Pelodiscus sinensis: one gene and its partners. The protein of the gene in region 1 interacts with the protein of each later gene in a biochemical or structural test. Links are inferred from orthologs where the notes say so. Each region holds a gene or a part of one and is shown on either strand. Other genes may lie near its edges.

Region 1 (7,700 bases):
CTTAGTTTCTCTTAATAGTTAGGCTGTGCAGTCTTAGGCACGTCCACACGGAACCTCCTGCCTTCTAGGACACAGGAATCAGATCAAGTTCTTGAAAGGGTGATTTTTATTTAAAAAAACCCAACACTTTTGGTAAGACATTGCTCAGTAACACCTGGCAGCCCAGCCACTGAAAAAGGATTAAAAACACTGAAGTGCTTCCCTGGGATTCAGCTTGGAAAGTTACAGTGTAAGGGGCTAGTTAAATGTGCTCAGCACAGAGAAATCCAACAAACCTGAAAATCGCCTGACTGGGTCTGACTAAACATTCCCTGTTCTACTCACATATCTGTAGTTTCAAGACTGAATGCTTCCGTGGGCATAGGTGTCGCTGGATTCTCCAGGCCTGGCTCCTTCCAAGGCCTCTGCTGTGGTCACACAGGAACAAGAAGGGCTGCTGCGTCCAATTCAAAAGTTCATACTCTTTTCATTGGTTCTCCTGGTCAATGTTCCCTCTCTTTCCCACCCTTGTGTGGAATAATTTTTTTCAAGTCCACCAAGGCCTGTGTGAATGTGCACCACTAGTAGAAACACAAACCTACTGTGGGCACTGTGCCAATCAGCTGGGTGGCATTTGACTCTCTCCTGAGAGGCCGCACAAGCACACAGCTTACAGGAAACACTGCTGCTGGTCTCTTGCCAACGCACGGCTTCCCTAAGCATTCCCGAGGGCTCTGGGACTCACTGTCTATGGTTTAATCCTTCTAGGCAAGGGTTAGGGTTAGGTCTAAAGAGTTACCACTACTCAGTAAAGACTTTAGCTAACGGAATGGCTGGAATGTCCGGAAAATGCTGCCTCCCCATTCACCGCAATAGCATTTCTAGAGTCATCCATGCTAAGGCTGTACGGGGCCACTGGGGCTAGCTAGGCTACCCCTGCATAACCCAGGCCGATGGGTTTCAGTCCTTCCCGCATTGGTCCCAGGACCAAAGTCTGAGCTTGTCTGAGCCCTGCGTGGGGAGGGCCAAAGCCAGAGCCCCACTGCCACGGCAGGGGGCCCAAACCTGGAGCCCAAGGGCTTGAGGCCTGGGCGAGGGGCTTGTAACCTGGGCCCTGCTGCCCAAGGCTGAGGCTGAAGCCTGCGCCCCACCAGCCAGGGCTTTGGCCTCAGGCAGTGGGGCTCAGGTTTCAGCTTCTGTCCTGGGCCCCAGCAAGTCTGAACACCAGGCTTGGAAAGCCCATTGAAGCAGGGTCCTGACCCGCAGTGAGAGCTGCTGATCTAGACCTACATGCAACAGTGCACTCAGGTAAAGGCCTGTTTGGGGGCATCCCTGCCTGGCCCAGGGGGCGGGGCCAGGGGGTATTGCTATTTGGGCACCTACATAGCTGCCAGATTTTCAAAAGAACTCAGCACCCACGCGGCACCCTTAAAAAAACCCGACTCACTTCGGTGCCTGAACAGGGCCCTGAACGATTGGAGATGGCGGCCCAAGGTATGAGATTCCCTTACCAGGTGACCCCCTCTCTTCCCCAGTATTTATTCATCCCTGCACCCCGATGCTGACTGGGAGTGCTTTCATGCCGGGCAGCATGGGAAGGGAAATCAGTTGCCGTCTGTCCAGAGGTCGCACTGCTCGCTCTGTTAAAAGTGCGCTTTGCTCGCGGGGGCAAGTCAATTCCAGCCTGGTGTGGGCTGGATGTTCAGAGAACCGCTGGTGAGCGGCACTAGGGCAGTCAAAGCCACCACGGGAGGGCTGCTTGGCAGGACCGCCTGCTGCGATCGCTTTGGCACGCCCAGAATCGGCTCCCTCCACACCTTCAGCGCAGCCTTTGCAAAGGCGGTCGGCTTTAAATGCTCCCTGTTCTTATACAGCCTCGGTGGGATTCTTGCCCAGAGATGTCTCCAGTTCTTGCAGTTTTATGAAAGAAGCAAAAGCTGGATACAGTCAAACCTGGCCGTGGGCCCCCCCTTTCCAGGTGTATTCTGCTTTGCTTTCCGGTTACATGGATCTGCTGAAGGCGGAGAGCAGGGATCGTTTGTGGCTGTATGATCCTGCTGGCATTCTGCTTTGCTCTCAGGCCTAGTTCAGGAGTCCTGTGGAGTCTCCTGTACAGCCATGAATTGTTTGCCTCCAGGAGAGGGAAAGCTCTGCTGGGGAGGGGCTTTGTGGACAGCTGCTTCTCCACATCTGTTCTGTCCTCTTTCCAGGCTTCAGGGGCAGGCCCTCTGTGCAGACTCCTCGGGGCCTGGCCTGGGGAAATTGCCAGACGAATACCTGGGATGCACACAGCATTTTTTCTAATACAAGGCCGGTCCCTAGGGATTCCTGTCTCAAAGAACTGAAAACACGTGAGTGAATTGACCCGAACGTTCCTGTGAGGCAAGTGACTATTAGCCTAATTGTATAGCTGGAGAAACAACAGCACCAGGAGAAGGTCCGGGTCCTCCAAAGAGCTTAGGGCACTGTGTATTCATTTGCATGGAATATAGGGCCCAAAGGTGTTAGGCTGTGTCTACACTGGCAGCTTCTTGTGCAAGAACCCTTCCAGAAGAGAGCGTCTGCACTGGCATGTGCTTTTGCGCAAGAGCATCCATGGCCGTATGGACGCTCTCTTGTTCAAGAAAACTCCGATGGCCATTTTAACCATGGGGCTTTCTTGCGCAAGAAATTCATGTTGCCTGTCTACACTGGCCTCTTCTGGAAGAGCTCTTGCGCAAGAGGGCTTCTTCATGAGCGGGAGCATCAGAGTTCTGGTGCAAGAAGCCCTGATTTCATACAGTAGAACGTCAGTTTACTTGCGCAAGAACACGCGGCCAGTGTAGACAGGCAGCAAGTTTTTGCGCAAGAGCGTCCGCTTTTGCGTGAGATCGCGCCAGTGTAGACACAGCCTGAATGCATCAACCAGGCACTTGACCAACATTAAATGGTTTCAAATAAGGGTTGTGGGTTGGGGTACGCCAGCGGCCACCAGCCAGTAGACTGGGATCTATTGGTAGATCCCGGAGCCTCTGGCAGGTCATCCTGACCGGTTTGGCCGGGAGGCTCTCAAGCACTAGCTCTTCAGCTGCCCCTCTCCGCTCAGCCACTGCTTCTGCCCTCTGCCTTGGAGCTGTTCCCTGGGAGTGTCCTGCTGGCTGTGCAGGGTAGGAGAGGCAGAAGAGGGGGTGCTGTCAGGGTGTCCCCAACCCTGTACCCCAGCTCCACAGAGTGAGCAGGGTGGGGCCTTGGAGCCCGGGCGGGGTGAGACTACAAAGCAGCCCAGGTAGAGTATGTGAAATATAACAAAAGGATTTTATTTGATTTTTTTTAGCTGGGGAGAGTTTCTAGGAGGAAAATCCTCCTGGTCCAGTTTTAGATGTGTCAGAGCTGGCAACAAATGTCAACAAATGTTTGGGGGACGGAGAAGAACTGAGGTGAGATGGGTTGCTGCTGTAATAGTCCCATCGCATTTCCTAACATGAAAACACACACACAGGGGAAGGGAGAACACAGCTTCTGCCCCTGCTGGTAACTTTCACTCGCAGCCTCACTGCCCAGCATGGGATCCTCTTAGTCACTCCGAGGCCTGGCAAACTTGCCCCAGCATCAGACTGTTTAGATCATAGCTTTTAGCTGCCTTTTTTTGGTCACAGGCTTAAAGCAAAATATGTAGTCTTGGCCGGGAAAGCGGGACAATCCTTAGACAGAAGGAAAAAAGGGCAGGGTCAGGAAAGAGAAGAAATAAGAAGGGAAAGGACAATAGTAGGGGAAGAGACACAAAGCCCCTCACGCCAGGCCTTGTTGGGGTTCAGCTGGAAGTGATGAGGTCATCTGGGTCCTTCTCTGTCTGCTCAGGACACCCTTCCGCCTACCACAAAGACCTTCCAACTCTCAGGTGACCAAGTGGGGTGGCAGCCACAAGGGAGCAGCTCACTTTTTTCATTTCTCTCCTCTCCCAATGGGTCCAGGACTGTGAGAGCCTCCAGCTGTTGGTTCCTACAGTCTCCTTTAAAAAAAAAAAAAAAAGCCCCCAAAGGAGCACTGGGTGGCACAGCCCATCCTTTTAGCACTTTGTTCACCAAGAGGGTTAATGTCCGACACCAATTTCCGCACCTTGCGTACTGGTATTAGCTCTCAGGCCTGGGTTCAGTCTTGAGCTATATTAGTTGGCCTTTTGGCTTGTGCTCTGCCTTTTGCCTTCCTCCCTGTGACATTTATTGCAGCAGGTGACTGTGATAATTTAGCAACTTTCACTCACGTTTCACAGCGGAGCTTACACTGGGGTAAATGTGCAGGGCCCATTATTACAACAGCTTCTACCGCCACTGAAGGCCACGGGGGCTGACAGTTTCCTGAGTCTTTAAAGTGCTACCAGACTATGTGCTGGTTTTAAGTTTCCTTTAGCATTTCCAGGGTTGGCCAGGCAGCTAAAAGCGGACGGGGCCGCGGACCCAAGAACCCCAAGTCCCAGTGCCCTGCCCCCCTGCCCTGAGCCTTTGTCTGTGGACATCTGGACAAGCTCGCCCGGGTTCTGCCTGCGTCTAGCCCTAGCGGCCACCTGATGCTCGGCTCGGGAGGGAGCTGCCGGCCACGGGAGGGGGTGGGGGCTCGGGTCTTGGCTGCTGACACCGGCCCCCTGCCCGAGAAGCGGCGCGGCTCCGAGGGAGGGTCCGGGCGGTGCTGCCGCGGCGCGGGGAGGGGAGAGGCGTGTCCGGGGGCGGCTCCCTGGGCGGGGGCGTCTGGCGGGCGGCCCATGTGCCCGGCACCGCCGGGGGCGGCGCCCGGGGTGGCTGGGTGCCCGGTGCCCCCCTCGGGCCTGGGAGGCGGCGCAGCTGTCCCAGGAATGCGCTGAAGATGGCGGCCGGCAGGCGAGCCCCGAAGAGCGGGCTGCTGGAGCTGCGAGCCCCGGGCGAGCACTGGCTGCGGGTGCTGCTCACGCTGGCCGAGGACTTCCTGAGCCTGAGCCCCGCCAAGGGCGCGGGGGCCGAGGAGCCGCCGCCGCCCGGCCCGGCGCAGCTGAACGGCGGGGAGCCGTGCGCCCAGGTGCCCGAGGCGCTCGCCAACGTGCGGCGCACGGTGCGGATCGTCAAGCAGGACGTGGGGGGGCTCGGGATCAGCATCAAAGGTGAGGGGCGCGCGGCGCCGCGCTCAGCCTGGCTCCGGGCTCTGCCCGCGGCCCCGAGCCGCCCGGGGAGCTGGCTGGTGCCTGCCCAACTTCGGCGCCTTCCCAGGGCGGGGCGCGGCGGCAGGTTCTGCCCCGTGGCGCCGGGGCCCCGGCGGTAGCTCGGGCGCATCAGCCGGGCGGGCGGCGGCAGCTCCCGGCCCAAGTGCACAGCCCGGGCCCTGCTCCGCGGGGCTTCCCACGCGCGAGCAGCGCCCCGCAGCCGGGTGCCGGCGGTGGGCAGGTGCGCCAGGCGTGGCCGGCTGGAGACGCGGTTCCCTCGACTGGGCTGGCGCGGGGCGGGGCGGGTGTGAGCATTCCTGCAAGGTGAGTGTGAACCGGAAAGTGCCCTGAGTGGGCAGTACCTCGGGGGGAGGGGCGGGCCAAGAATTTGGTGAGTGGCCGGGGGCTGCGCTTTTCATCAAGGGCGCCCTTGGGCGCGGGAGGGGGCTGGGTTCAGGCCTGGGGCCGGGCTGCAGTGGGGGTTGTGACTTGGGGCAGGGTGTTGGGGTCCATGAGGGGGTACCAGGTGCAGGCTCTGGCTGGTAGGTGCTTACGTTGGTGGCTTTCAGCTGGTGGCCTGTGGGACTGTCAGGCAGGCTCCTTGCCTGCTATGCCCCCCCCCCCCCCACACACACCGTGGCTGGCTGCTGTGGCCAGTGTGTGTGTGTGTGTCTGCATGGTGGCCCCTTGGAGGGGGTGCAGGGTCTCCACGTGCTGCACGTCCCCACAAGCACTGCCCTTGCCATGCGGAGTCACTGGCTTCAAGAATGGGAGGTTTTGAGCTGGAGGTGGGGTAGGCAGCCAGGGAGCCTGCCCCAGGGTCCCGCTGGGTCGCAGCTGGCTGCAACCAAATGTTTGGGGCTGGATTTTGCCCACCCTGGAGAAAGCGAGTGCATGGAACGTGTCTAAGCAGGGTTGGGTTGGATTGAACAGAAAGGTTAAATTGGCGGGGGTGGGAGTGGGGGAGGGGGAAGAATTATTCTGTACTAAGCTATTCCCTGGAATGTAAAGGAGCTGAGCAATGTTCTCCCCCTACATCCCACGTAGTTCAGGTCAAGTCACATTCGCTGTCTTTTCATTGTTAATTTTGCTGTGGTTGTGTGTTTCCCCACTGGGATGCTTCTGTTGCTGAGGTCGAAGGATGTTTTCACATTCTTTTGTTGGCATTGCAGCCTGGAACAGAATTCTGTGTCAAAATGCCGTCACCCATCCAAATGTCCATACGTAAAACCCCATGATTCATTGCACTGAATGAGTCTTGCAGGTGCACCATTTCAGAATATGGGGGGCGGGGGGCAACCTGTATGTGCCAGGATGGGTGGGGCAGAGAGAGTGAGAGCAGGAGAGGCAGGCAGACTGAGGACAGCAGCTTCAGCAGTACAAGCTAAGCACCAAATGGGGGGGGAACCAATTACTTCTGCCCTCCCCCCAACCCCACGTAATCTCTATCTCAGGGCTGCTAGGGCACGAGGAAACTGCTTTTTCTGGCAGACAACTTAGCAGGTAGCAGGAGCACTGTATCCAATTCCTATATAAAAGAAAGAAAATAAATATTAGCCCCACTCAGCTCTACCACTAACGTATTCTGATAACTTGTGGAAAGTTGCTTAAGGGACACTGGTTGGCTGGAAATGTGAATGTCTGTTCTTACTTTACTAACTTTGGGGAGAAAGACCGACCCCGTCAGGACTCCTGGGCTCTCTCAGCTTGGGAAGGGGAGTGGGGTCTAGTGGGTTACAGCAGGAGGCAGATATTTAGGGGCTGAAATGTAAGAACATCAGACTGGCCAGACTGGGTCAGACCAAAGGTCCTTCTAGCCCTGTATCCTGTCTGCCGACAGTGGCCAGCACCAGGTGCTTCAGGAGGAATAAACAGATTAGGCTTCATCATGATCCATCCCCTGTTGCCCCTTCCCAGCTTCTGACAAACAGAGTCCAGGGACACCATCTCTGCCCATCCTGGCTAATAACCAGGGCTCGACAAACTGGCGAGAGCTCCTCACCAGGCCTGCACCGTGCATGCACGAAGCGCCGGTGAATGGGGCGCACGGAGCGACCGGCTGCAACCTACTCACCTGGGCAAGTAGAAACAGCGGCTTGTGGAGACCTGCTAATCACCATTGATGGACCCGCCCTCCTCGATCTTAGTGTGTTCTTATTGCAACCCTGTTACAGTTTGGACTTTCCCATCATCTGGCAAAGAGGTTCCACAAGGGCTTTGTAGACCTTTCAAAGTTTTGGCCCAAGCGAGGGGGCTTGGGGGCGTCATTTGAGCTCCCCGCCTCGGGTGCCAAAATGTTGTGGGCCGGCCCTGCCCACCCTTTAGTCATTTCTTTTCCAAGCTGAAGAGCCCCCGTCTTGTTGATTTCTCCTCCGATGGAAGCTGTTCCTTACCCCTGATCATTTCTGTTGCCCTTTCTCTACCTTTTCCATGTCCAATAGATCTTTTTGTAGCTGGGGTGACCAGATCTGCATGCAGTGTTCAAGATGTGGGCATACCGGGCTTTATATAGACACAATATGGGATTTTGTCCTCTTATCTATTCCTTTCCTAATGCGTCCCGACGTTCAGTTAG
Region 2 (7,435 bases), on another chromosome or scaffold:
AAATTAACCTCTCCACTACTGACCTGTCTTCTCTTCTTTCATCTAATTCCACATCTCAATCTGTTTCTCTGAGATCTTTTCATGGCAATTATCTAGCCACCAACATGAATTTTAACATAGTCAAAAATGAATCTGAGATTTCCTCTGAACTCCTTTCCCCTGCTCCCTATTTTCTCCTGCTGTTCACAATATTTCTATCCTTCCTGTCCATCAGGCACATAATTTGGCTGTAATTTTTGACTCCTTCCTTCCCTCCAATCCTCTCTTCATTACTGCAGCCCTATCCTTTTCCACTTCCCTGACACATTACCCTCCTCCAATCCAGAGCAAACACAGGTGTTACAATCACCTTCCACTACTCTGATCACATCCGATCTTCACATTTTCTTTGAATCTCCCTCTAGTTTCCCTTTTCCACTTCCCTTATATCGAAGTGACTAAAATTTTCAAGAAGCAGCTAAATGACATTTTCAAGTGACTAAGATCTTGTTTACACTTGAAATATGACAGTAGTACCAGTGCAGCACTTGAGCTGTGTCACTGTATTGCTTCAGTGTAGACATCATAGCAAGGGGAAGGATTCTCCCATTACTGTAGGTAATCCACCTCCCCAAAAGGCACCTCCCCAAAGAATTCTTCCGTCGACCTAATGCTGTCTATACTGGGGGATTAGGTCATCTTAACTGCCTTGCTGAGCTTCCCTGACCATACCTGGGGCATCTGTCAAGGAGGGACAGGCCTTGCCCATAAGGTATTTCTTGGGCAAGCTTTGTCCTTGTGCTCTGTCAAGGTTGGGTGCAGTCTCACTGCACAGTCCATGACCTGTGGCAGTGGAGCTGCACAGTGATCTCCCATCTCTGTGCAGCCAGTAGCCAGAGTTCCCCACTGTCATGCTGGGGCCTCCACATTTATTTGAGAAATAAAATTTGCAGAATTTTGCAGAATTTTAAAAAATTGTGTGCAGAATTTTTATTTTTTGGTGCAGAATGCCCTCAGTAAAACAATTCTGCCTCTCCCTATTTAATCACTCATCTTTTATCACTTTCCTTCATCCCTGATAGTCCAGCCTTGATTGCTGCTCCTCACAAACCATCATTTTATTCTCTTCCAGATCACCATGGAGTTAATCCTCAAAGCTACTCACACATTCCGCCTCTCCAACAAGTATTCCATCACAGGAGACAGGCATATGCACTGTGCAAGTTACAATGTATATAGGTGTACATGCATTGTGTTTATAGATTTGTTTGTACATTACAATAGTGCCCAGAATGTGGTAGGCTTTGTAAAGACAGATAGAAAAAAAACTATCCCTCACAGTTTAAAATCTACAGGATAGCCATAGACAAATGCATGCAAACAGTATAGGTTAAAGTCACTTTTTGACGGCTGCTCTCTAATGGCACATACATGCACTCTCATCATCACTATTTTTTATGCTAAATACATGGCTAAAAATCTTTGTTAGAGCTAAATTACTGATGCTGCGGTGCCAGGGCATGTCTACCTTGGCAGATTATGGGAATACTGGAAGTATGGGGGACAGTAGATCAGGCACCATGCATGGTGAAATGTATGCATTTTGCTGTGCAAGCTGCAGTCTTGAGAGTATATGCTAACAACTAAACTTACATTTTCATGCTTCATGTGTTTCAGGAGGCGTAGTTCCCGATAGGCTCGTTTGGCAAAGAGTTCAGATTGAAATGGACGGTACAATTTCTTGATGGCCACTTTGATGCCACTTCTTCCATCAATAGCTGAGCTTTAAGAAAACAAGTATAGAGTTTGTGAGTGAGGATTGGAGTGATGCTGGAAGTCCTGACACGCAAGGTACATTGAACAATAAGTTAGAGGACTCCAGGTGTGGGGCTCTGCTCCGCCTTGCCATTGATTTGCTATGTTACAGAGGCAAAGTCACATAACCTATCTGTGCCTTTGTTTATCTTACTGTAAAGTGGGAATAATAACTCCCTAAGCTATAGCTTCAGAACTGGTTGGACACCATGAAAATAGACCATTCTTCCTAGGCAATTCTGATGAGCCACAGTAGAGGTCTATAAAGCAATGTCTGAACAGAGGTCAATCAGCTCTCATACTGTAATAAAGAATGGAACATTCTGATGAAGTCAAAATGCAAAAAAGATAATAGGGAAATGCAGTTTTACTGGATTATGTAACTGTGGAACTCACTGCTACAGGACACCGCGGACTGCAAGACTTTAGGGTAGCTAGGAAAGTGCTTGCCTATATCCATGAATGGGACCATGCAAAGTTACACAGAAAGGCTAGAAACTCTCATGCCTCAGGTGATGAACTCAATGCCCTGCCCCCTGGCACTAAGGAAGAGCTTTTCCGGGCAGGATCGCAGAACTGTCCGCTTTGGGCTTTCCTTCCAACTTGCCCTTCGTTGCAATGTGAGCGCGGAGGTACCGGGCGTACGCCTTTCCCTCGCACCGGAGCCGGCCGGGCCGATGTCGGAACTGGCTGCAGTGACTCCGGCACCGCGGGGAGCGGTTCCGGGCCCCGCTGGGGGCGGAGCAGCCACAAAGTTGGAAGGAATTAAAGGGAAAGTGGCCACGCTTCCCCCGCGAGCCAGGGACCCCCCGAGCCGCCTCCCCGAGCCCTTTCTGCAGCGCCAGGGCGGGGCGCCAGGCAGAGAGCAGCCCTCTGCTAGCCCGGGCGCGCAGCGCAGGCAGCTCCCGCCCAGCCCTGTCCTGGCCGGGGCGCCCTGGGCAAGGCGCTGGGAGGGACCCCCTGCTCCCCTGCCTCACTCACCACACAGCGCCGTAGGCTCCGGAGCCCACCGGCTGCAGGTCCCGGTAGCGCTCCCGCACCTCCCACAAGGTTTTCGTGATTTCCTGCCGGTAAAAGCCTTTCTTGGCGGAGGACATGGTGACTCGGCCCCCTGTCGGCGCCTTCCAACAAAGAGCCCCGAGGCGGAGAGAGGGGCTGCGGCGGCGGGGCTGGTGCGAGGGGCTGGGCTTGGAAGCGCTCCCGGGGTGTGTGTGTACGTGTGGGACCCTCTCTTAGCGGGGATTGAATGTGGCTCCGGCTTTCTCTTTCCCCGCCTCTCCTCTCCCCTCCCCACCTCCACGCCTGCCCTCTCGGAGGAGGAGGAGGAGGAGGTCCTGTGGGAGTCACACTGAATTCCCCCCTCCCCCTCCGCATCTGGGGCTGCCTGCTTTGTCACAGACACATAACTTTCCTGCCTGCGGTTGCTGCCTGATGGCGAGGCTGGGAGGGTCTCAGCCCCTGGGCTAGGGAGGATCTGCTCGCTCTTCTCAAACCAACTCGAGATCACGTGGTGAGATGTCGCCCCGCACCCCGAAAGGCCCCCCATTTCTAGCCTGTTTCAAGGAAGCCTGTTGTATTCGAAAGCAGCTTTCTAGCTAGGTGTGATCTCTGAGTTCTCTGAAAAAGGGAGGGTCTAGCTGAATGGCACACGCTCTTATTTACAGAGAGTGTGTTGGGACATGCAAGCAACAAGACAAAAGAAAGCAAGGTTTGCACGCTGCATTACAGACAAGACCCCGGTGAAGAGGGGTTACTTATATGAGGCCCCAGAGCCAATGCTGCAAACTGGTACCTACCCACTAATCCAGTTAGTTGCCTATATGGAGCCTAGATGTTTGTCCCAGTGAACAGTTTGATAAACATTACACTGACACAAGTAATCAAAAGCAGCATGGTTTTGCAGTAAAATTTGGTATATATTTTAGTTCCATGGCTTTTGTAAATGTTTTTTGTCTCAAAAAAATAAAATACACTTAAAAGGCAACGTCTTGTATGCACATGAAAGAACCCAAGGGTGGCTACTTCCATCTCTTTTTATCTTTGTCAGAGCTACTATGGTCGATTAAGGGGATGAAGGAACATTTGATCAGTGGAGAGTTATTGTTAATTTATTCCAGTGGCATCTAAAGTCTCCCACCAACTGGACTGGGGCCCAGTTGTGCTAAGCACTGTGTGGACACAGAATGAGGGTACATCTACACTGTGGAGTTTTTCTGGAAAAATGGGAGTTTTTCTGGAAACACTACACTTACATCCATGCTGCTATTGCATTCTTTCGACAGAAAGTCAAAGGAATGGAGGGTTTTTTCTGTCAGCGGTATACTTTTTTCTACAAGAAGCCTTTTTTCGAAGAAGCTTTTTCCAAAAAAGGTGTGTGTGGTCACGGAAGAATGTTTTTTTGAAAGAAGAGGCCTGCAGGAAAAAGCACAGGTGCCCTGGTGGCCACTCCATCCACAGTAATCACAACTGAAATGCGAGATAGCGTTCAATTAAAGTGGATGCTATCTTTCGAAAAAGCAGATAACTTTTTCATTGCACTTTTGCTCAGTAGACACTCTTTTGAAAAAAGTTTTTCTGGAAGATCTCTTCTGGAAAAGCTTCTTCAGAAAGAAGCTTGCAGTCTGGACATAGCCTGAGAAACATATCCTGCACCAAAGTGAATAACTGAAAAAGTTTGTGTAGATAAACAGATTTAAACAAAAATTGGTGGATCATACAGTGAAAAGGTGTAACTGTCATTAACATTTTTTTCTATTTTTGCTGTCACATAACATGCCATTCTCTACTTCTCCCCAAACCTCTGGCCCAATTGTCAGAGTAAAACTCGTTCACAGTTTCCCATTTCCCTATTATCCTGTCTATATCCCTCCTTCACATCAGCAGACCAGGGAGATGCGGAGCAAAGCCACGGAGGACGCGGGCGGTGGGACAGCAGCGCGTCTGGGCGGTCCCGCCACCCACGTCCTCTGCAGCAAGAAAAGCCGCTCCGTGTCTCCCTGGTCTGCTGGGGGTCCCCCCCCCCCAGCAGACCAGGGAGACGCGGAGCAAAGCCGCAGAGGACGCGGGCGGCGGGACCACGGAGCATCTTGGCGGTCCCGCCACCAACGTCTCCCTGGTCTGCTGGAGGGGGCGCAGCTAGTGCACCCCTCCCCCCCAGCAGACCAGGCTTTTCTCGCCGCTGGTCAGTTTCAACAGCGGCTGAATCTGGACGCCTGGGACAGAGCAGCTGGGGCGCTGCCGGGTTGGTCCCACAGCGCCGAGGTGCGGCACTACTGGACCAACCCAGTAGCACTCCAGCTGCTCTGCCCCAGCCGTGTCCAATTCAGCCGCTGCTGGTCAGTTTCAACAGCGGCTGAATCTGGACACCTGGGACAGAGCAGCTGGGGTGCTGCCAGGTTGGTCCCCGCAGCGCCGCACCTCGGCGCTGCGGGGACCAACCTGGCAGTACCCCAGCTGCTCTACCCCAGGTGTCCCCAAGTCAGCTGCTGCTGAAACTGATCAGCGGCTGATTCCAGGAAGCCCGGGGCAGAGCAGCTCTGCCTCGGGCTTCCTGTAGTCAGCCGCTGGTCAGTTTCAGCAGCAGCTGAATCGGGGACACCTGGGGTACAATATGTACCAGTTCCGACTTACGTACAAATTCAACTTAAGAACAAACATACAGTCCCAATCTTGTACGTAACCCGGGGACTGCCTATATTGTTGCATCAAGTAAGTGCTTACAGTCAAGCTGGTTCTGCAGTATAACTACATACTACACAGTGAAAGTGAACAACTTTGGTACATATCACTTAATATGTAAGTGGAGCCTTATACCTTAGTTCCTCCAGTGCCACAGACACATCAAGCTGTTTAATTCCTCTGCTGTATTTCTTCTGAGGTAATGCCAACGTATGCTACATCCTCTGTCTCTGTCTTGCAAGTGCTTCCTTGATTTTTCTCATGTTCTATTTCTTCACTCAGGTAACCAATTCAGTGCTTGCTTAGCATGTCTCTTCTTATGTTCTTAAGTTATGTTCTCCCATTTTACCACATCATGTGTCTTCTTTCTTTGCTGATATGTTCTAGCATGTCCTGCTCTGTAAGCTCTCTCTCATTTGTTATTTTGTCTGCTCATGAAATGTGTAGTGTCTTCCTTAGCCATTTGTGTTGGGCAGCTTTCAGTTTCAGTTTCTTTTAGCAACTCTCATTGGCAAAGTCTCTGCTCTCCACAGTAGCATGCTCAGTATAATTGTATGATATAATCTGATCCTTAGTTTGGAGTAGAGATCTCTATCAGAATGGTTATGGGTCATATTTCCAAAAGTGGTGTTTCTTTTCCTAATCTTGTAATATCATCTTCATCACAGCCTCCTTTAAATGTCATCACACATTCCTCACATAGCTGAACTCTTTCAACTTTTCAATTTCTTTTCCATCAGTGTACATCTTTGAATCTGTTGTTCAGTTTCCTACCTTCATAATCTTGGTTTTCTATGCATTTACTTTCAATCCAATTTTTTTATGCTTCCTGTTCTACCGCTGATGTAAGGGTAATCCTTCAGTTCCCCATCATGCTTAATAAAGCAATGTCATCAGCAAAGTTAAGATAATGTAATTCATCTCTGCTAACCCATTTTACAGAATCCATGATACCTTTTGTTGCTTGCTTCATCACCCAATCTATTACTAATGCAAAGAGGTTTGGTGATAAAACATACCCTTGTTAGACACCACTCACAATATTGAAACATGTAGGCCTGTATCTCCTCTTAATTTAGGTCTCCTTCCAGCATATAATGTTGATAAGCTTGTTGGTATCACATAATTTCTAGCAATATTCCCCAGGGTTCTCTGTGGACTCTATTAAATGCTTTCTTTAAACTAGAGAGAGTTAATTAAAATGGAGTATTAGTTGCCAACCAGTAGCTTTTTCAATGATCTGTTAAAGAGTGAGTATCAATTCACAGCAGGAACTATCTGGATGGAATCCAGACTTGTAATATTTCATTCACTGCCACCTTCATCCTATTCAGCATAAAGGTAGCCAATTATTTCCTGGGATTGTTAGCCGTACAATTCCTCTTCAGCTTGTGCACTGAATAAGATCAGACTTTTTGGCAGTGCCACAGTGGTACCATATTTCCAGTTTTGTTGCACCTGTTACCTTAACTTGTCTATATTTCATTACAGAGTTTTATTAGCTGTTCAGTCAGAATTTTCCCTCCAGACTTTATTAGTGCTGATTGAATTCTGTCAACCCCAGAATCTCTCCCGTTTAAGAACTTTGGTGACTGCAATGCTGTTATTTCATTAGATGTTATTTGTCCCCCTTCTATTTCTAGCTTACCCATGGAATTTCTCACCAAGCTTTGTGATCATTGACTTTGGTCACGTTAGTATAGAATGATTGCCTTGTTCTTTATGCATTTTCAACAGGTTCATGAGAATCCCTGCTGGGCACCACCTGTGACAGTCTGGTTCTTCCTGATATGTATTTGACTATTCTATGGAGCTGCTTGAAATCTCCCTTGTGCTCTTTCTTCTGCCTCTGCAGCCTTCTCCTGAACCCAGGTTCTTCTATTTTGCCTGCATTTCTTCTTTATTCTCTTGTGTTGGAAAAGACTGATGTCTATCATTGATTAGGGTATTTGTGCTACAGACA
Region 3 (7,864 bases), on another chromosome or scaffold:
AGCTCCGTGGCTGTGGACCCTTAGCTAAACAAAGTGTTGTGGGCCCTCCAGAGCTTACCTGAGAAGGCCCACCACACTACTTTGAAAACCACTGCCATAGATGATTTGCCATATGAATCTTACTTGGTCAGTAAGAAAACCTACTCTCGACATTTGTACACTGACCCCATGATCTCTGAGAAAAACATCAGGGGCAGGTATATAGGCCAACACCACTTCCTCCAAAAACATTTTACCACCAGTTTCTAGCCAAGTCTCTGTGCGTGTGCCAGAGAGTTTAAAGACCTTGATTTTCAACACTTTTACTGCTATGACCTCTATCCATTCCCACTCACGCTCTAACTACTCTAGACACCGCAATTGAGAACTGTCTATCTTTATTCATGCCAGCCATGTATATTCCCTTCTTCCCCACCCCCCAGTCTTTGGAGGATATCACTCACTTTGTTACCCACAATTGGGACTCTATCATGACAGACAGGTGGGCTCTAGAAACCATACATTCTGGTTACTCTGTTGAATATCTCTCCCATTCCACTCACAAACAACCTTCCTGGTTCCTCCACAGTGACCACTCTCATAAACATACTGTTTTCTAAAAGTCAGATTCTCTTCTCCAGTGAAGGGCAAAAGAATGATATCCACCTGTGTATCAAGAGAAAGGGTTCTGTTCTCCATCCTTATTAGCTCCCCAAAAAGACAGTGGGTGGATGTCCAGTTTAGACTTTTGACAATTGAACATCTTTATTCAGAAGTCAAAATTTAGGATGGTTACAACTAGCATCAGTAAGGGAATGTGGTTTATGGCTGTGAAAATAAAGGATGCCTATTTTGATGTAGATAATAATTTATCCCACGGACAGTTTAATTGGTTCTTGATAGATCAAGAACACTACCAGAGTCTTTCCTTTTAGACTAGCAACAGCTCCCAGGGTTTTCACAAAAGTCCACTGTGGCCCTCAATTTTAGTAAGAACTTTCCTCCCCATAGAAAGATTTCAATCAATGAGCAATCTGATATCACATATTACTTGGAAACCAGAAACTACGGTCAGAATACACCTGTATCTACTAGGCCAAATGGCCTCGATGTGATGCCATTTGCCAGACTTCATTTACACTGCCTATAGGCTTGGCTCTGAGCTATCCATCCACTCCCCATACAAGGACTACATGAACGGCAGAGTGACTTTTCTCACTTGCTTCAGGGAGTGACCGGTGTCCTGACCAGCCATGCAGTCTTTTGTCTGGTGAATGGATGGAACAAAGCGAGGCCTTTAGGCAGTGAAATTGGGTCCAGAGTCACTCTAACAAAAGTTATAATCCTTGTGAGGGTCACAGTGGACTTGTGCATGCAACTGACAAGTACTGCTCAAAGATGGAACAGGAACAAAGTCACAAACTTTACCACATTGCTGGAGTGACCTATTTGGAGTCAATCATCCATGTATGAGAAGACTGGGTGGCCATGACATTGCATCTGGGCTGCCACCACGGAGAAAACAGAGACATTTCTTTGCCTGGCCATAACCCAAACCGTCTTCCTCGGACTCTGCAGATATTTCAATCATTTTTGGTTATCTCCTGTCACTGAAGAATTCAGGTTTTTTCCCTTTGCTTATTGCAAGCCCATCAAGCAGTGTTCAGTGCCTTCCTTCATGTAGTAGATAGGCATTCAATTTTTACTCACTGAACAACAAATTCCTGAAGGGCCTAGTCAGGACCTTTCTGCCCGTAATCAAGCCTACAGTTCAATAGGAAGAAATAGAGCTTACTTACCTGCGGCCAGAAATTCTTCCAGATGGGCAGTGCCTATGTGTATTCCATTATCCACCCCATTGCTTTGGATCCTGTTGGAGTCATGCTAAGAAGAGGAATTGGAGAGGTGTTGGCCTATGCTGCTTCTTATGCACTTGGTCTAGAATATAAAGAGAGGGTGCATGTGTGGGCCATTAAACACTGCTTGTGAAGAATCTCTGAACTTGGGCATATAGTGTAGGCATATACCCAACATGTGGAACACACGTAGGAACCAAGCATCTTGAAGGACTCCAATTACAATTAAGTAATCTCTGTTCTTCAAGAGTTATAGATACATTTTTATTAAATTTTCTATTTAGTTTTGATCTTAAAATCAATGGAATAGGAAATGTCTACAAATGAGCTCAAAGCATTGGTCATGAAAAAGAAAAGCAAAAATTCTAAGCAGAGCCTTTGTTTTTCAATCTTTCCACTGAATACAAGTGAACTAAAGCTAGCTGTGTCATATACCTTAATAGCAGTAGGAATTTATGAGTTTCACAGAGTAGTAGTACCTGTTAAAATAAGAGGCATTGAAAACTGCACTACTAGTAACCTTCTGGGTGTGTCTTTAACATTGAGCTGAGCATTTTGAATTTAGTCATGGTCTTTGTTGTTCAGTATACAGGCAGTCCCCGGGTTACGTACAAGATAGGGACTGTAGGTTTGTTCTTAAGTTGAATCTGTATGTAAGTTAGAACTGGCAACCAGATTCAGCAGCTGCTGAAAGTGACCAGCGGCTGACTACAGGAAGCCCGAGGCAGAGTTGCTCTGCCCCGGGCTTCCTGGAATCAGCTGCTGATCAGTTTCAACAGGCTGAATCTGGATGCCAGTTCTGACTTACATACAGATTCAACTTAAGAACCCCAGGCGTCCCCAAGTCAGCTACTGCTGAAACTGATCAGCGGCTGATTCCAGGAAGCCCGGGGCAGAGCAACTCTGCCTCGGGTTTCCTGTAGTCAGCGCTGGTCAGTTTCAGCAGCGGCTGACTTGGGGACACCTGGGGCAGAGCAGCTGGGGCTGAATCAGGACGAATGAATGGGGCTGAATCAGGAGGAGCAGCGGCTGAATCAGGACGCCTGGGGCAGAGCAGCTGGGGTACTGCCTGGTTGGTCCCGTAGCGCCCACTAGCTGTGCCCTTCCCTCCCCCCCCGCCACAGCAGACCTGGGAGACGCGGGCGGCGGACTGAGACGCACCGCGGTCCCGCTGCCTGCGTGCTCTGCGGCTTTGCTCCCCGTCTCCCTGGTCTGCTGGTCTCCAGCAGACCAGGGAGACGGGGAGCAAAGCCTTGGATGACGCTGGCAGTGGGACAGCCGTGGCGCGTCTTGGCTGTCCCGCTGCCCGCGTGCTCCGCGGCTTTGCTCAGCATCTCCCTGGTCTGCTGGGGGGGGGTTCCCCCCCCAGCTGACCAGGGAGACGCGGAGCAGCTTTTCTCGCCCCGGAGTACGCGGGAGGCGGGACCGCGGCTCATCTGCGCGTCCCGCTGCTCCCGTCCTCCGGGGCGAGAAAAACCCCGTTCGTAACTGCGGATCCGACGCAAGTCGGATCCGCGTAACTCGGGGACTGCCTGTACATAAATGGAACTGAGTTCAGGTTACAACCCACCTGTTTGGGAGAACTGATATTAAAAATCTCAGAGGGATATCTGTGTTAGTCTGTAACTTTAAAAACGAATAATCCTGTGGCACCTTAGAAACTTACAAAAATATATATAGTATCATGAGTTTTACTCATGAAAACTCATGATACTATATAAGGTGCCACAGGACTTCTCATTTGTATTAAAAATGGCATTCCGATAAAATGCCAAATCTGGCTCTCATGCAGTCTTGTTGCCAGACAGACCTGAAGAAGAAGTTTATGTAAGCTCGAAAACCTGTCTGTCTCTTCAGCAGAAGCTGATCCAGTAAAAGATATTACATCACCACCTTGTGTCTCTAATAAACCTGGATGTTGACAATATAGGAAAATCAAAGAAAATGGTGCATCCATGTGAATGCACTTAAAAATACACCTCTTTGTTTCTCCTTAGGATAGCTTTCATTTTTGTTTTTAAAGCCTTTTACTTGTGGTCCCATGCATTACTATTTTGACCTCTCTGCTGGCATAAATGACTGAGCAATTGAAAATCAAAGCAACATGGTGGGATTGGTAGATATGCATGGTAGGTAGGAGCCAGGTGATTGCAGTGATAGAATGCAGCATATTAAAAGATGTGATGGGTGAAGAAACTGATTAGGAATGAAATCCGCTTATTATCCAGTGATATAACACTGCCATATTACTCATTTTCTTATTCCATTTTTGACAGTAACTCTAAATTGTTTCTCTTTGTATCCAAGGGTTGACAGAGTGGAGGAGGAAAACTAAAATTACAGCACATATTGCTAATGCATTGTAATTGCTTTAATCTCAGAGAGCTGGACCATCAGGACTTAGATAATGTACTGCTAGGATACTGATGATAGGCTTGGTGGGAGTGCTGAAGCAGAACGTATATTTCCTAAACTTTTGTCATTTATTATAAAAAATATTCTGTAACCTATTTTCCAAGGTCTAAAATGAAGTATTATTATGTGAAGACTGTCAGTTCAGGTAAATGTAACTCTACTGGTAGCTTAGCAAAGACAACACGAAGAACAAAGCAACATTCTTTACGTAAAGAGTGCACTGATTGACATGCCTGCTAGAAATGGAAATGTGCAGTTTTTAAGTTTATTGCCACAGGCTGGCTGGCCCTTTAAGGCTCAACCTTGCCTGTGACGTAGCAGCTAGCTTCCAGCCAATAAGGATGTGCCAATTTAAGGCTAATTAGTGACTCAGTCTGAGAAGGGATTAGGACAAGACTGTACAGGGTGGAGAACTCAATTTGTGGGAGGGGAGAAGAATAAAAAGAAAGCAAAACTTTTCTGTGGGAAGGAGAACGAGCATAGTTCCTTTGAGGGAGGCCCTCCGATAGGTCAGTAAAAGCATTTTATAGGAGCCCACAGGAGGTGGGAGACTTATTAGGTCAGCTGGGGTGGGAGAAGCCCAAGGTTTAAGTAGTAAAGGGAGGCTGTGTTAAACACAGGCTGCAGAGAAGCAGCCAAAGGACCTTACAGGTAGGAAGCGGCCCAGGAAAACAATAGCATGTCTGAAGGAACAGTCTTAGGTATTTAATGCAGGATCTTTGGGCTATGTTCCCCTACCAGCCCCTGAGAACAGGACATGCAACTGCATAAGCAGATGACGGCTCCTGTGAGAGAGGACCTGAGGGAGGGTCAATGAGAACACTGAATGTCACCCAAAAGAAAAGGAGTGGAAGAATTATTATTTGGACTTCACACCTTTGAGTTCTAGTTGGACCCTTTGTTATGCCACGTGTGATTGAGCTTTAAGCGAATTGGCTAATGGGCCAAACCATGGGAGGTGCAGTGAGAGGCAAACAGCCAGTAGGAGGTTCCGGAGACAAGGAAGACACTGTGGGTGATGAGTACATCACCTACATGAAAATATGCTCACTTCAACTGGATGCCGTGAGTCTTTGTCTGGCTGCAGAAACAAAGAAGGTGAAACTTTCTTAGGGAGCAGCACTCAAAGGAATGAATTGTAATGAGTGGGGAAAGAGAACACACCTGGACAGAGCCTGGTGGAAAGGACAAGGCAGGAACAGGTATGGAAAAACAATAGCCCAACAATCTGGAGAGAGGGGGGCGGATCTTTATACCATGCACCATGGTAAGAACTCTTTCTGTCTAGGGCCAACAACACCCACCCGTAGGATTAGTATAAGGCCAGGTTTGTATGTTAAGGATGGGCATTTCACTAGTCACTTGTTCCTTTGGGGGCTAGGAAGGAATCTTTCTTGCTCTTCTATCTTGGCCACATGGAGGTGCCTTCCCCACAGCTGGTAGGGAAGGAAGTTAGGCCAGATGATGAGTTTAGCAAGTGCCCTAGACAGGTAAACAAGCTATGGAAGGGGTCGTGCGGGAAGGCATTCCCTAAGAAAATTGGAGGAAGTAGGGTTGGGTAGTGTAAAGTCTGATACTGCAGGAAGGCAACTTCCTCTGCTTTTCCCTGAGTCTCCCCCGTCATACCATGGAGACTGACAGGGTCCCTTGAAAGAATCGTGTTGAGAAGAGTGAGGGCTGATGGCAGCCCTCCCAAATAAGTACAAATGATGAAGGAAGTAATGCTGAACTGAACAGAATGATTATTGCCACGTGTTCCCAGGTACGTTAAGTGAATAAAATTACAATCTAATTTAACCAGATCCATCCGTGGGCTTGGGACAACAATGTAATCCGTAGACATATCTTAGATAGATCAAGATATGTCACTGTTTCTAGTGTTTGGATACTTAGTTTCAATTTGTTCTCTGATATGAATGTATGCGCAAGTAAATATTAGTAACTTAAAATGAAAGGGAAAATATCATTTTAATTTGATCTTTTTCTAAATCATAAAATTCCATGCTACTGCTGAACCCTCCACGCTACTGCTCCCCCCTCTCTCTTTAAAGCTTTAACTAAGACCACGTTTCACCACATTAACATCAATACACTCAAAATTGTCAAAATGACCATTAGCCCACTATGTGTGACGCATGAGCATATCTCTGTATTTTATACAGTACTTTACACAGCTCATGTTACGGAATTCATTATGGTGCTTGGTTTAAAATGGAGGAACATATTTCAACCTTATTTGTATATGGCGTAAGGAAGATTTTACTTCTACAAAGCAAATGTCACATATGCATTTTTAATATAATTTGCACTTTTGATCATTATTGTTTTAATATGTAATAAAAATAAATTGTCTAAATCGCCAGTAAATTAAATACAGCCTGGAGCAGGGCCAATGATCAAGCAGAGGGCCATGTGGGGGAAAGTGACAGCACCCACCTCACATTGGCCCTGCTTCTCTGTTTATTATCCAAAACATACTACAGCTGTTGCTAATCAAAACAAGAAAAAACCCTAAGAAATATTATGATTTGTAAAGTAATATCTGAAAGACTGCAATGGGCTTTTTCTAGTTGTGGTTTTGACAGTCTTTGGAAACAGCGGGCTGATTTAGTGATCTGGTCTTTTAGTAACATTATCATCAAATCATATCCCATGGAAGTAGGATTAGAATCTGTCTGACAACATACCATATATTTTGACTGCCAAGATAAGGAGAGGTCAGGTAATGAAGGAAGTAGCTCCGCAGTGAGCTTTAAAAAAGCTATTAATCGTGTGCTCAGATGATTTTTTTACAGACTGTATAATTTGAAGGAAAAAATATAATTGTTCATTACTACAAAGTACTGTAAACTTAAAATGCACAATGAAGCAGTTTGCTCACAAGACTCACACATCATCCAGTGTTACCTCAAGTGTTTTATTTAATGCTTTCTCTGAGACTTATTTGGGCAAGTTGCACACTTATGAATAATTTTATCTGCCGTTATTTTTAAAGGAATCCTAAAGACCACTGGCATACACATCTAAAATTAAAGTTATCTGATGTGTATGATTTTGAATGCAATGTGAGTGATGCGTGGGGGATGTTATGGCATAACTTAGCACTGCGCTATCTTAGAATTAATTTTGCACGGTCAGGCTTAGTTAAAATTACATTGTCAACTTAAATCACGTTTTGGTCTGCAAATATTTGCCTGTGATTTTAAAACTGAAAGAAGATAAAATGATTTCTTTATTTTTTTCAGTGTATTTGTATCTTGCTTGTTTTGACAGCATTTTGTGTAAATGTGCAAATTTCCATCTCTTTCTCTCTCTCTCCTTTCCCTTCAAAGCTTTCTTCTTTATTCTTTGATAACTTTCTGGGAAACTTCTTTGGAGCTTCAGTTTTCCAGCACCAAATACCAGAGTAGCTATTGAAGGAGATTTCTTCAACTGATATTTGAGAGTGGTTTTATGCTTACGGTGAAATTTTTCCTTCTGAAAACCACCCTTGAGCTAGTGTTTGGATCAGTTGGTATAGAGAAGAATGAAAGGTCTGTAACATGAATGGACATTTTGTCTATCATGTGTGTTTGGAGTCTAGGATGCTCTGAATTAGTTTTGAAGCTACTTTG

The links.
Region 2: of the proteins of SNTA1 (region 1) and MAPK12, one has a biochemical effect on the other in vitro, tested with the Homo sapiens proteins (2 studies listed by BioGRID and IntAct, with this or other methods). The link is inferred for Pelodiscus sinensis from reciprocal best matches to the Homo sapiens genes SNTA1 and MAPK12.
Region 3: the proteins of SNTA1 (region 1) and FRMPD4 interact in a test that uses a peptide from one of them, tested with the Homo sapiens proteins (2 studies listed by IntAct, with this or other methods). The link is inferred for Pelodiscus sinensis from reciprocal best matches to the Homo sapiens genes SNTA1 and FRMPD4.

What each region holds. Positions count from the first base shown.
Region 1 is NC_134728.1:33,977,894-33,985,593, reverse strand, and holds the start of SNTA1 (alpha-1-syntrophin), read left to right. Parts: upstream 1-4,687; 5' UTR 4,688-4,815; coding exon 4,816-5,086; intron 5,087-5,311; exon of another isoform or gene 5,312-5,449; intron 5,450-7,700. UniProt on the Homo sapiens protein: Adapter protein that binds to and probably organizes the subcellular localization of a variety of membrane proteins. May link various receptors to the actin cytoskeleton and the extracellular matrix via the dystrophin glycoprotein complex.
Region 2 is NC_134711.1:37,391,768-37,399,202, forward strand, and holds the start of MAPK12 (mitogen-activated protein kinase 12), read right to left. Parts: upstream 3,118-7,435; 5' UTR 2,892-3,117; coding exon 2,776-2,891; intron 2,580-2,775; exon of another isoform or gene 2,302-2,579; intron 1,763-2,301; coding exon 1,633-1,762; intron 1-1,632. UniProt on the Homo sapiens protein: Serine/threonine kinase which acts as an essential component of the MAP kinase signal transduction pathway.
Region 3 is NC_134711.1:214,148,671-214,156,534, reverse strand, and holds the start of FRMPD4 (FERM and PDZ domain-containing protein 4), read left to right. Parts: upstream 1-4,747; 5' UTR 4,748-5,381; coding exon 5,382-5,452; intron 5,453-7,864. UniProt on the Homo sapiens protein: Positive regulator of dendritic spine morphogenesis and density. Required for the maintenance of excitatory synaptic transmission. Binds phosphatidylinositol 4,5-bisphosphate.